2 linked regions of the Neodiprion lecontei genome follow. The main gene of each other region encodes a partner of the protein of the gene in region 2 in a complex. Links are inferred from orthologs where the notes say so. Each region holds a gene or a part of one and is shown on either strand. Other genes may lie near its edges.

Region 1 (5,903 bases), on a different chromosome or scaffold from region 2:
GAGGGAATGATTAAAGATTGAATTCGAAACTTTCGTTCTCGACCTTTTTCTCGTTATACCGTCCCCGAGAATTCAACACGCGCCAAAATTACCAATTGAAAACGAATTGGGTTGCACAGTTGGACGAATAAGGTTCTGATAATATTTCAATCAATGGACTAACATCTGAATAAATTTCTCTCATTTCTCTGTTCCAGGTCCCTCAGAATTCAGGCATTATATGTAAATACCTCAGAAGAAAAGTTCACCGAGAGCGCTTTCGTTGAGAATTAGTCTACAATTATTTACTTAAGAAAGACGCTCGGCAAATATTAGTCGTTATACCGTATACGATCAGGGTGGTAAAATAATCCGGTCCTAATTGTTTTCCAATAATATAACCGGCAATATTAATATCTACGAAAAGTGCGATAAAACTGTGGAGAAAAAGGAAAAAAAAAATACCGTGTTGCAAAAATAGAAAAGTATAGTGATTCTTACGGGCAAAGTGCAACTGTTTTAAAACAAATTTTTGAAACATGTGTTTAATAAATATTGTAATGCGAGGAGTGTCAAATGCGTTCGCCATCAGGAACTTGCTGAATGAACGCCGTAACAGTATTTTTATGATAATAAAGCACGGTACAGAGAAATACGCTTAAGTGGATATATTAATTGACAATACGTTACGTTTGAATACCGGCAGATTCCATTAGTATAAATTCCATAATATAATGCCTAATTTACCTGCGAATAGGCCGCGTATGATGTACGTATACCTCGACGTATACAGATGTGCTGGAGATATCATAAATACGGTTCATCTAATTACAGGTTATTTATTTGTAATATAAACATACAATACATGCGCACGTGCATACGTGTACATATAGGGTTTTGGCAATAAACATACAAAGCATAATATTTATTCAAGGGTTTCGATAAAGTATAGTGTTACCTATCCGCCTGCTGGCCGTTGCTGTAACCCAGTTTAAAAAAATCCTTCATCGATACGTTAAAACGCACTGTAATAGTTCCTTGGGAAATCATCCTCGTCACTGAAAAAATAATATCCCTAAATTTTTCAAATTTAAAACTGCGCTGAATTGGAAATATTAATATTACAGTAGGTGCATTTTAAATTTGCCAAAGACGAGCTCTAGCATTATTGTACCAAGCTCTGTTCACGTCGAATATTGTTCGTGAAGTCTGGTGAAGAATAAAATGTACATTGACGACCGCGAGTTTCCTCACGAAATAAAAGTATCGCTCAGCTTTATGCGTTATATCGCGGTAAGAAACCGAGGCAAGCGATGTGCGAAAATAAATGTGTCGTGTGTCGTGTAAGCTGTGGATGTTGGGTATTCGAATGGTTCTTACGCTCTCGCCCTCCGCCAGTTGCGAGTATCGTTGGATCTATTAGTTCCGGTCTCCTTCCGGAGAACCAGGCAATAAATTGTTGCAATATCGAAGAAGATTGCGGAACATACACAGCCACCCTGAAAACGAAACGTTTGCGCTAATGAAACTGATTACATACCTTGCCAAAAGTGGCTGTAAATTCTAATGTTCACTTATTTATTTGTTTGTTTATTTATTTTTTTTTATCGATTGCGCAGAAAATTAAGCGGTCACTTTTAAATATTATCTACAATTTTTTCCACCAAATTGAAGCGTATCGTTTATTTATGCATGTTAAAGAAAAATTGAAGCTTAAGGGAAACGAGAAGAGATCTGATATTCGAGGGCAAAGTGGGTAAGTGGAAAAAAATGGGGTCACGTCATTCTTGAACTGCCTCTGCAAGTCGCACGGCTGACGTGCCTTATCAAAAGGACGTTTCTCGCTTCGCAGAAATTGAAAAGTAAACGTCCGAATTAATTGCTGTGTAAATTTTTATTCCACGGTTCGATCGCGACAGTTGAACGACTATGATGCAATTCCACTCAAATATAAGCGGGCGTCTGAAAAATGTGGATAAAATTGAAGTACTTTTTTGTGTGCGTGCCAGTCGCGAGTGGCAAGTGACAAACTCCGTAGCCTCTAACCACATCATGACCAAAACAGTCCAAACCGTAAACTGACAGAATCAACTGAGGCCCTAAAACAGATGGAAAATGGTATTTAGTAAGTGCAATCGATGTATTTTGCTATTCGAAAATGTAAAAAAAAAAAAAAAAATTCAATGTCGAGAACGTCTGATATCTTATCGTGATACGGGTAATCACGCTAATTGCTGCGATAAGAATATTGTTACGTCTAGTATTTAATCTTTTAAATTCTACGTATACTAATTGTAGTCAAAACATTTTGAAACTTGGCAAACATTGTAAAGGGTGGTTGTTCGGTTGTATTTTTTTTTTTAATTTCTATTTTGTAATTTTATATGAGTTTTACAGCTATACCTACATCCCTGGGGATTGATACTCTTGAACGCAATATCGAGAGGAAAGTTCCAAACAGCAACCTGGCGAGCGTCGGTGCTTTTTTTACTCATTTGCGTAAGCCCCTCTTCGATTCCCTGTGGAGTTGAAAAATTTTGGTTTACAATTCTACATGCGACATACTGTATATTATTCAAATCGGCGGAATTGTTATTGAGAGGAGATCGTAGAAATGAAAATTATCGGTGCGATACACCCCTGTTTTACATGTACTGTAGAGGAAACTTTGAGGATGATACCCTACGAAAGCTTTTTGTCACGTTTTTCTTCCCAGCGTTTCAATTGTAGTCACGAATTCTCACAACCAGCTACCTCATGATCCAATCTCGAGAGCGATAAGAGCACGTGCGTTCAATCCCCGGTTGTGAATATTTTCCCATTCAATTTATGCCGCGGTATAACCGCGGGTGAATACTTTGGTTACTCATAGAGACGAAATTCTTTCAACGAAATTTAATAACCTTAAGTGATATCTATACTTCGATGTGGTTATGAGCTGTATGGGTAATTCTTTCGAGAGCGGAAGAAAACAAGAGGAATATAACAATAAAAGAAAAGTATACCAAACTCCTTTCCTTCCATCAAGATTATTTGAAACTATCAAGATTAAGTGGGTGAATAAATTTCTGCAAAAATCGACCAAGCCGTCCGTATTATGTATGTTATAACATGTAGCGTTATTAAAAGCTTGGAAAGCGGTTATTTGAATGACATGACTAAAGGCAAGCAGGATCTTGTGCTGTACGCGAAGCCTAACATTTGAATATAAAATAAATTTATCATCTAGCCCGTAATTAATTGGGCACTTAAATTTTATGGCTATAACACCCAGGAATAATCAAGAATCATTTCGCGGTACGTTCATCGACATGTACATCGATTATTGATGGAAAAAAAATTCTCCCCACAGAAGTTTATGATTAGCGCAAATCGGAAATCAGATCAGTAACTTTTACGTTATCAGTTTTTATCAACTTACTTTATACTCTTAAAATATCTAACAGAATGTTACCGACTGATGTGAACACGCGAATCACTTCTTGTTACACGGCAGCTGCAGGTAAAATGCAAATCAAGTATTTGAGGAATGTATAAATTATCTCCATCGTTGAATAACTCGCGTGATAATAAATAAATGATTTTGCCGTCGTCGCTGGATTGAGCGCGTAGAAATTTGCAAATTAATAACTGAGCAACGGTAGATAATAATTGAAACTTTTGCCAAGTATTGGTACAATTACGATAGTGGATAAAACAAAAACCATTTTTACAATTTTTCCGTGAGAAATGGAATTGTTAGTACTGAGAAAATTAACCAAGCGGTCGGAATATTGAAATAAAAAAAAAACACAGATAAGAAAGTAAACCAATAATGTGTGATGTGTATACCCTGACGATGCTCCAGTCCGGTCCAAAGTGGTATCCATATTTGCAATACACGTTATCAATGTCATAGAAGTTTGCGTACTCGATCGATCCTGTCACTGATAAGAAAAATTCACCCTCGACTGACATGGATATAAATTACTTCTCCGTCAGATCAGATGATATTTTCTCTATCGACTACCAAAGGTTTGCTTTTACGCGTTCGCTTTACTATTTGTTGTGAATTTCGTCATTCTGCGTTGTCATGACGATATCCGCGCGTTTCGACGATTAACGGGTAAAACGCCTGATGAAGTTTGGACAAGCAACTTGCGATACATTTGTGGTTTCAAAGATAATTGTGCTAGGCGCTTATATTCTACACCAAATGACAATTCAAGCTTTTCATTACGAATTATCAAAATTTTGTTAGGTACTCAGTGACAATAGCTCTTCACTTTTCCCGGTGAACTGATTTATTTCATAAATTTAACGATCGAATTAAAAGTAATGTAAGAACCCAGTGAAACTTTTATTAAAATGATTATTTTTGGATATAAACTTGCAGTACTCTACTAAAATATACGATCGGTATTGAAGTAGCCACAAAATTGTTCAATGAAAAATTTCGACTTCAAACTACTAACGCATACTAGGTAAAACTTTATTAACACGGCAAAAACTGTTAAAAATGACAGCTTTTGCTTTTTAATCGATCGATACAGAGAATAATATATACAATAAGTATTACTGTGTAAATGATATCCTAAGTAACAGTTATTAATGTACTAATGGGCATTATTATTCAGATTAAATCACCGACTTGCTTAATATACAATTTTTTTTTTTTATACAGAACTGACCCAAGGAGCACTGGTCTTTACGATTCATCTTTTATTCAGTTGGCAAAATCAGACTTGAATGATTGGCAATGGATTATAAAGACGCAGAATAGCATCGTTGAAGTGAGACTAAAAAGTAGCTACCGATTTTAGATTTGAGTCTAGTCTTGATTCGAGTTTGAATATACACATCCATAATCAATAATACGTACAATAATTTTGTCAATTGAAGGGAAGTTTCATTACTTATTGTACATCGTACATGCATAAAAAAAAGTATGCAACTTTAGCCCGATTATAAAATTTCTCTAATATCGCATGATTCTTAGTGATAATTAGCTCCCTTAAATTTCAGTTCTCGTAATGAATACTACCTTATATTTGCATTGTTCTATTTCCTAAATATCTACCGTCTGTACGCGTAACTGCCGCTTCAAAAATCAAATTTCTATCGGAACTAAAATTCCCTGTCTACGAACGATTTCGTAAATTTTCCCTATTTGCTTTCGAAAATTCAATACATGTGACATACTAGCTTACTGCTAGTTGACATTTTTGGCATTGTTCGACTTCTCAATTCGACATCTTCATCCTTCGTTTCTTCAGTTTCGTTTAACCCTCTACTTTCCTAGGGCTACTTCCTTCATACGGTTCAACGCTGAGCCTGCTTTGAACCAACCAATCTGCTGCTCATTGAACGTGTGATTCAAAGTGATGGTGTCAACCTTTCCGTCTTTGTGTTTGATTTCTGCCTTGATAGGCTAAAACAAATCAAAAAACAAGACAAATAATCACAAGCACTGAATCAGATGTGTTAATTACTGATCTCATCTGGGAAATAGAATCAAATCTGAAATATAATTTTTGCGTTTAGGTCAAACAACTTTATCAACGAACCTTTCCAGGAGCTAAATCCTTGAGACCAAGGAGGTTGATCTTGTCAGTTGGTTGGATTTTGTCGTAATCACTTGGGTCAGCGAAAGTCAATGGAAGCATACCCTGCTTTTTCAAATTGGTTTCGTGGATCCTAGCAAAACTCTTCACAATTATGGCACGTCCTCCAAGATGTCTGGGCTCAAGAGCAGCGTGTTCCCGAGACGAACCTTCGCCGTAGTTTTCATCGCCGATAGTTACCCATCTGACGCCATTCTTTTTATAATGTCGAGCAACATCGGGAACAGCTCCCCACTCTCCCGTAAGCTGGTTCTTGATTTTGTTGACTTCGCCGTTTTCCGCATTGACCGCACTGAAAAACAAGGAAAATTGGAAACCTCC
Region 2 (6,449 bases):
AATGTCCCAGAACATACCATATACAAACTAGAAAATGCACCTGAACTGCTACGCGTTCAAGAAAAATTGGCAAAGGAAGGTTTAAGAGATCCTTGGCTGCGGAATGAAGTTTGGCGTTACGACGTAACAAAGTGGGGAACATTTTGGGGGCGTGGCTTCCGGTACGCGACATGTGGCCTCAAATTGGGTATTCCATTGTTTCTCTTAACAATAGGACTTGAAAAAGCTCTGGGAATTGAATATGGCCATGGCCATAGCCATGACCATGATGCACATAGTGGAGAACATGGTGGTCATCATTAAATTTCTTTCCAGTTCACACTGTTGATATAATAAATGAAATGATGGTGATGATACAAGTGTAGTTTGTGATATAATAAATACAGTAACTAAAATTCCTATTATTCGAACTATTTCTATTAGACTTAACTTAACATGAATCAAGAAAATATATACAGCGAACAGTGTGATTATTGTTTTAGGAGGATTTTATTTTGTACCAATAGACATGTTTTCAATATATCTGCATATTATATTCCCCATTATTTACTTTTGAACAATACTTGCCACACTTTATCCAGTCTTTCTTTGATGTCATATAAATCAATGACATTTAACTTAATATTAGTTTGTATTTGTAGAAGCAGTAATTAGAATACATGAGCGGTACATGTATAACAGTGACCTCACGATTTTCTCAATCATCCTGATACCTTCGTAAATACGACCTTAAAATCGTTTTACCTCGTCCATTTCTGGTTTTCTTATATTTATACTCATATAAAAGCAAATGACAAATGATAGTCCCATTAAACAGGGTTACCAATTATTCTAGAGCTACAAAGATCTTAATTATATTCTGGACTCTAGGTAGTATGGACATACTTCTGGGCTTCTACTTAGGCACCCTGGAAAACTTAGTTTCTTGTCCGCATAAAATTACTTTGGCTCATTTTCTTAAATCATAGTAAAAATCTTTCATCGATCAACGTTTTCTGAGCTAAATTTTTCTTACCATTAAACTTGCAACAGATAATTAACAGCTGTGACGCGAATACTGTGACTATTATCGCCAAAGTGTAGTCCTCAAATAGGGCTTCCATAAAGTTGAATAAGGTAATTTCAAAAGTTACTAACATCCATTCGTTCCCATAGAACATGGCACGATCAAAGGAATGGTTGTTGTCTGAAAAGGAGAAAGCATTTTATATTTTGTGTTGCAAAATAATAATTCCCCAATATTGTGAACAATCAAGCTTCTTACCAACATAGAAAATTGATTTTTCGACTCCTTCTCTGAATTCAATGTCTAAAAGTTTTTCAAGGAATTGCTTATCTCTAACAGTGTATTCCAAGTCTTTGAAACAGTGATCTATAAATTGGGTCAGGAATTGTTTCATCTTCTGATATGTTTGAATGTTTCTTTCCAAATTTGACGTTGAAATTATGTCACTTCTAAGAAATCTGCTCTCTTCCTGCAACAGAGAATATACAATGTTCTCTTTATATTAGAATTCTCCTCGAAGATTGCGATAAAACAAAATTAAAAGAAAAACAAAATTATAACATTCTGAATCCTTTATAACTCCTACCAATTTGATTGGGTTCATGATTTTATCATAAAAGTTTCTGAAAGTTGCTGACACTGATATTACAAAGCTTTGCTCTGTAGTACCGGGTAGAAGTCCTCTGTGTGCGCACAAATTTTCTTCTTCTTGTTTTAGGTCGCTGATCAAAGTAGCTAGATCAGTATCTGCAAATCCGTGGACTGATCTGAAAGTTGAATACTTTATGAAAAGTTCAGTTGCTAAATCAGAAAAATAAGTTCTAACCATCAACTTTGTATTCACACAAGTATGAATTTTGTAACAAATTGATGAACCATACCTTCCATGAATATAATATCCGTAATGGTTCTGAGAAAGAATAAATATACTGATATTTGCCATTGAACATAAGTCAATGAATTCTTTGATATGATTCTTGACGTATCTGTTATAAAATATAACCATTGTCAGCCATTGTACAAGGTATACAAACATATATACTAAGGTACCAACAGCAAATTTTAGCGTAAAGCTTTCTCTTTCCTGCAAAGTTGACTCTACAGCACGAATGCTAAGTTCTGGATCTGAACGTGCCCAGAATTTAACATTAACAACCTGTGGGAATAAAATGTTGTACATAATTTATTTAACAATTCGTGCAACAATTTTTACCAAAAAGCTCATATAAATTTTACTGACCTCTAAAATGAACAGTGTTGCAATGCCTTGTACAAGCATATTTACTTTTCTGATTGTTTGAATTTTGTACCATTCATTAGCGATGAAATAAGTTCGCCAAATACTAACTGGCAATTTTTTTTGATCGGTACGATCAGCAGTATCTCCCATAGAGAAAATATCTCCACCTGATTGATTGGGGAGATTCGAATCGTTTAAATCACTCTGAATCGAGAGTCTTGATCGCCTGCTCGGGGTATTAATGCTACTCAATTTGTGCGGTGTTTTGTTTCTACTAGCTGATATTATTTCTGATGGTGTTTTTGGTGAGCTACGTTTTTCACCAGAGAATCTATTAGCGTACAATTTCTTTAGAGATGTACGAGGTGAATCGTACTTTGGTTGGCTTTGAACAGACCTCGGTTGTTCCCAATCAATGAAAAACATGTCAATGTTTCTAATCTGATAGACGAGTCCCATTATCTCAACAAGCTGCAAACATAATTGGTGCAGTAACCTTTCAAAATTGTCAGACAGATTTGTAAAGAATGAAAATATATCATTATTCACTTTTAAAGAGAATGCAACGATCACGAATATTCTGACAGTCTCCTCGTTGGCCTCGCTCGGTAATAAAACATGCATCACGGTCTGCCCTTTAAAAAAGATGAACATGTAAGCACTGGCGCAGAAAACTACGAATATAAATACGTTTCCTAGTAAACCGCAGCAAAATATAAAAAACCAGAAAAACGTGGAGGTATTTGGAACTTCACTGCCATTTCGTTTACAATGGCTCCATGCCTTGATTGCGGCAAAAGCAACTGCTAAACTCGACAAAACGCCTGTAGACACCTGAAATGCATAAAAATTTGATCAGAAGAATGAATGATGTGCTCGAGTGATTAATTAAAGATTATTTTAGGCAAACAAAATTGTGCGTTCGTTATTACTTGAAAATAAACTTGTTTACCTCTATGGCATTGTACATGTCGTTATCTGCCAATATGTAAGTGATTTTATAGCTAATTTGCACCTCAACGTTTTGACGCACATGTTCGTTTAGCAATTCACCATATTCTATCATAAGTAACGGTGGGAATATTTTTCCCTTCTCTTCTTTATTCTGCACTTTGATTCTGAATGATTGAAAAAAATTACTCAGTATATGACAGTAAATTTTTGCAACACAGCACACACATTTTCAAAAAACGAGGCAATACTCACAAAATATTAATAGATTTAGCATATCTCACAACAGTTGGATATTCTTCTCTCTTAAAAGCAGTGCCTAACGACGTTGGCAAGGCTTTAATGCCAGCTATAGTATCAGTAAAGAAAAATCTCCTTACCAGTTGCCATCGAGAAGCATCAATTTCATCCTAAACAGTGCCGCAAAGATGAAGAAGAGACTTGGGCATTTTTTGCTGCCTTTATCCTTAATTATGAAAAATGTCTTAACCATCTCACCTTATTTGTATTTCTTATCAGAACCGGCAGTGCGTATAAAATCATTTTGTCGCCCTCTCTGTATCCAAGATATGGTTCAAAAAACTCCATTCTTATATCATTGAGTATTTTGGCAGTTGTTGCACACGACTTTTCAATATTAATACCAAATCTGATATTTTTGAACAAGTCGCAGATTAAAGTTGGTGCTGAGATCGATTGATATTGTCCATTCATTGAAAATGTGGCAAATGTAATATTCAACCTGCTACTCTGTGGTGAAATAAAAAAAAGTCATTAACGACATAGTGCCAACAAATGAGTTTTTTTTCATACAATTTCGTTTCATTCTCTACGTACATTACTCTCTACATCCAGACTATACTGCTGTGAAATTTTTTTACGATTGAGAACTGTTGGGGCTTCACCTTCTCCATAGTACAGCCATAAAGGAGAGTTATGTTTATCCCAAAATAATTTACATGGTATCAAAGATGTAAATAAAGTCAGGGTGCACATATTTGCCATATGCTCGCAAGCTGTTTTGTTTCCATTCTGAAAACAAATACAAAATTCTAGTGTGATGAATTTCAATAATTATTACAAATGAAGTTATTTATGCACCGCTGGTTCAATTTTAAATTGTTCATCTTTCGAATCTTTGGGAGAATCTTCACTCCATGCTATTGTGTGAATTTTTTCGCATTCCTCCGAGAAAGCAATACCAAGAATACCGATCAGTGAATACTTACTTTACACAGGTAAACGGCTAGTTGTAGCTCATTTCTAAAGTAATAACTGTCGATATGTTGGCTTTCGTATTTGACTAAGTACGTACTTCTCACATCAGGCCATTCCATTATCCCATTTTTCTTAATACAGTACTCTTTGATTTTCAAATGTGAAACTAATGGGCAGGGGCAATTGATGTGACTCCTGAATGATTTTTTTCTACACGGTATGCAACTCGTTCCATCTGGCGATGGATAGGAGTTCTCTGGACATGGAATGCATCTTACGTTATTCAAAAGAGTCCCATTAATGTCTCGTTCCACTAAAAATATCGACGTAATTTTATGTTCTCAATATTCAGTTGTTCTTTATACTATACACAAAGAGGTAAAACAGTTTCTCACATCTGACTTCAGTCAGCGAACATTCGCAGCTACTATTAGTACTAGCATCAGAACATGGAACGCAGTCCAGTCCGTCAATTGTGGGAATCCTGTCAGGGCCACACGGCTCACAGGTCGGATTACCATTTTCAAAATTGACAAACCTACTTTGTTTATTGCAAACACAATCAAGTCCTGTAATGGTGAATTCAAAATTTTACAACTTTTTTCAGATTCATTTATTAACTGTATTTTATACAATGAATGAGACAGGTCGAAAGTATAAGTTGGAAAAAGTTTACACATCATTTTAATTTATTGAAAGTACAAATAATTGATAGTATATAATAAAACAAAAATGAAGAAATTACACCATGCTCCCTAAAATATCAATAAATTAGGCAATAAATTAAACTTGCGGTCTTTGGAGGGTTCGAGGTTCTTCGTCGTGTCACAAGCTGTGCAAATTAATGATCCAACGTTGAAATATTCCCCTCTTTTGCACATACTAGGAGTAACGTATTGAAACAACTCCCCGTTCGGATACGTGTTTACTTGGAAAATATTTTCTAAAATAACGGAGAAAAATAAATAACGAACAAACGGATCGTGTATGAAAAACATTTTTAAACCATTCGATATGCGGGTGCGTTATGTATTGTATTGTTTACAGTCTTATACCTACCGCCCGTTTCCATGGCAACTCAGGGGATATTCGGAGAGACAAACCTGCAGGCGCGATGACGCATTTGATTTGATGAAAAAAAAAAATGCCGTGCTAAAATCGCATTCTACTTTTTAAAAAATTCACAATGTTAACATTTTGTAACTTAGACGCGTAATTTTAGTTCACGATTCAATTTGTGTTTGCAAGTGTCGCGGTTGAAACCGCATTTATTTTGATGAATATACCTGAATGATATTATAATACCTAGCTGTGTTATGTCGAATTTCGCTCAAAGTCCAGAGATGGGTCGAGTTCACAACGAACTTTAATCGTACTGTAGTGGAGGTAGATTTAGATGTATTTTCAATTTTATGATTTCAAAATGTGGAGCGAGTTTTTGGCTATCCGAGTAAAAGTCGAAATGCATTATTTTTCTTTTATTTAGTTCCAGTACAGTGTCTCAAGGAACTCAATTCGCAATCGGGACGGTCATTTTAGCCAGGGATGAATTGTAAAATATAGCGGAATTAGCTTTCGGTCAATGAATCTCACGGCTTCGTAACTCATAAAATGGAATGATACCGTCATTGTACAATGGCTAATAAGGTTTCATTCTTCAATAAAACTTGTTTGACATGAATTCAAACGCAATACAGGATTCGTAAAAGCATAGATATATTGATTGCATCATTGTTTGAGCATCTGTGTTTATCACTGTAACAGTTGAGCACAAGTTGGGAACAACTGTCATTAGCATCAGCTGTGAAAGATTGGCGCAGAGCGTGACGCTTGAGCGCAAGCAGCGAAACTGCGAAATTAGTTTGTCGTGACGGGTGACATTTCGATTTTTGAGTTAATCAGAGATTGAAAAATATGGCTGCGAATGTCGAATTTGAGCCGCTGGAAGCGTCCGTGCGAAACGTGATTGATCAACGATCGTTGAGATGGATATTCGTCGGCGGAAAAGGAGGCGTTGGGAAAACAACATGCAGG

Evidence for each region. The genes of interacting proteins can lie anywhere in the genome.
Region 1: meckelin (region 2) and B9 domain-containing protein 1-like share a complex: the UniProt entries of both Homo sapiens proteins name them as parts of the tectonic-like complex. The link is inferred for Neodiprion lecontei from reciprocal best matches to the Homo sapiens genes TMEM67 and B9D1.

The regions. Positions count from the first base shown.
Region 1 is NC_060261.1:40,677,982-40,683,884, forward strand, and holds B9 domain-containing protein 1-like, read right to left. Parts: upstream 3,943-5,903; 5' UTR 3,937-3,942; coding exon 3,811-3,936; exon of another isoform or gene 2,499-3,810; coding exon 2,387-2,498; coding exon of another isoform or gene 2,383-2,386; exon of another isoform or gene 2,079-2,382; coding exon 1,970-2,078; exon of another isoform or gene 1,479-1,969; coding exon 1,360-1,478; exon of another isoform or gene 1,055-1,359; coding exon of another isoform or gene 1,038-1,054; coding exon 934-1,037; 3' UTR 524-933; downstream 1-523. Other genes in the region: aconitate hydratase, mitochondrial, read right to left, coding at 5,249-5,389, 5,526-5,874. UniProt on the Homo sapiens protein: Component of the tectonic-like complex, a complex localized at the transition zone of primary cilia and acting as a barrier that prevents diffusion of transmembrane proteins between the cilia and plasma membranes.
Region 2 is NC_060260.1:37,172,270-37,178,718, forward strand, and holds meckelin, read right to left. Parts: upstream 4,946-6,449; 5' UTR 4,811-4,945; intron 4,729-4,810; 5' UTR 4,535-4,728; coding exon 4,427-4,534; intron 4,230-4,426; coding exon 4,035-4,229; intron 3,948-4,034; coding exon 3,696-3,947; intron 3,608-3,695; coding exon 3,453-3,607; intron 3,365-3,452; coding exon 3,199-3,364; intron 3,081-3,198; coding exon 2,796-3,080; intron 2,718-2,795; coding exon 2,247-2,717; intron 2,163-2,246; coding exon 1,888-2,162; intron 1,774-1,887; coding exon 1,593-1,773; intron 1,476-1,592; coding exon 1,265-1,475; intron 1,187-1,264; coding exon 963-1,186; 3' UTR 537-962; downstream 1-536. Other genes in the region: NADH dehydrogenase [ubiquinone] 1 beta subcomplex subunit 3, read left to right, coding at 1-303; ATPase ASNA1 homolog, read left to right, coding at 6,330-6,448. UniProt on the Homo sapiens protein: Required for ciliary structure and function. Part of the tectonic-like complex which is required for tissue-specific ciliogenesis and may regulate ciliary membrane composition.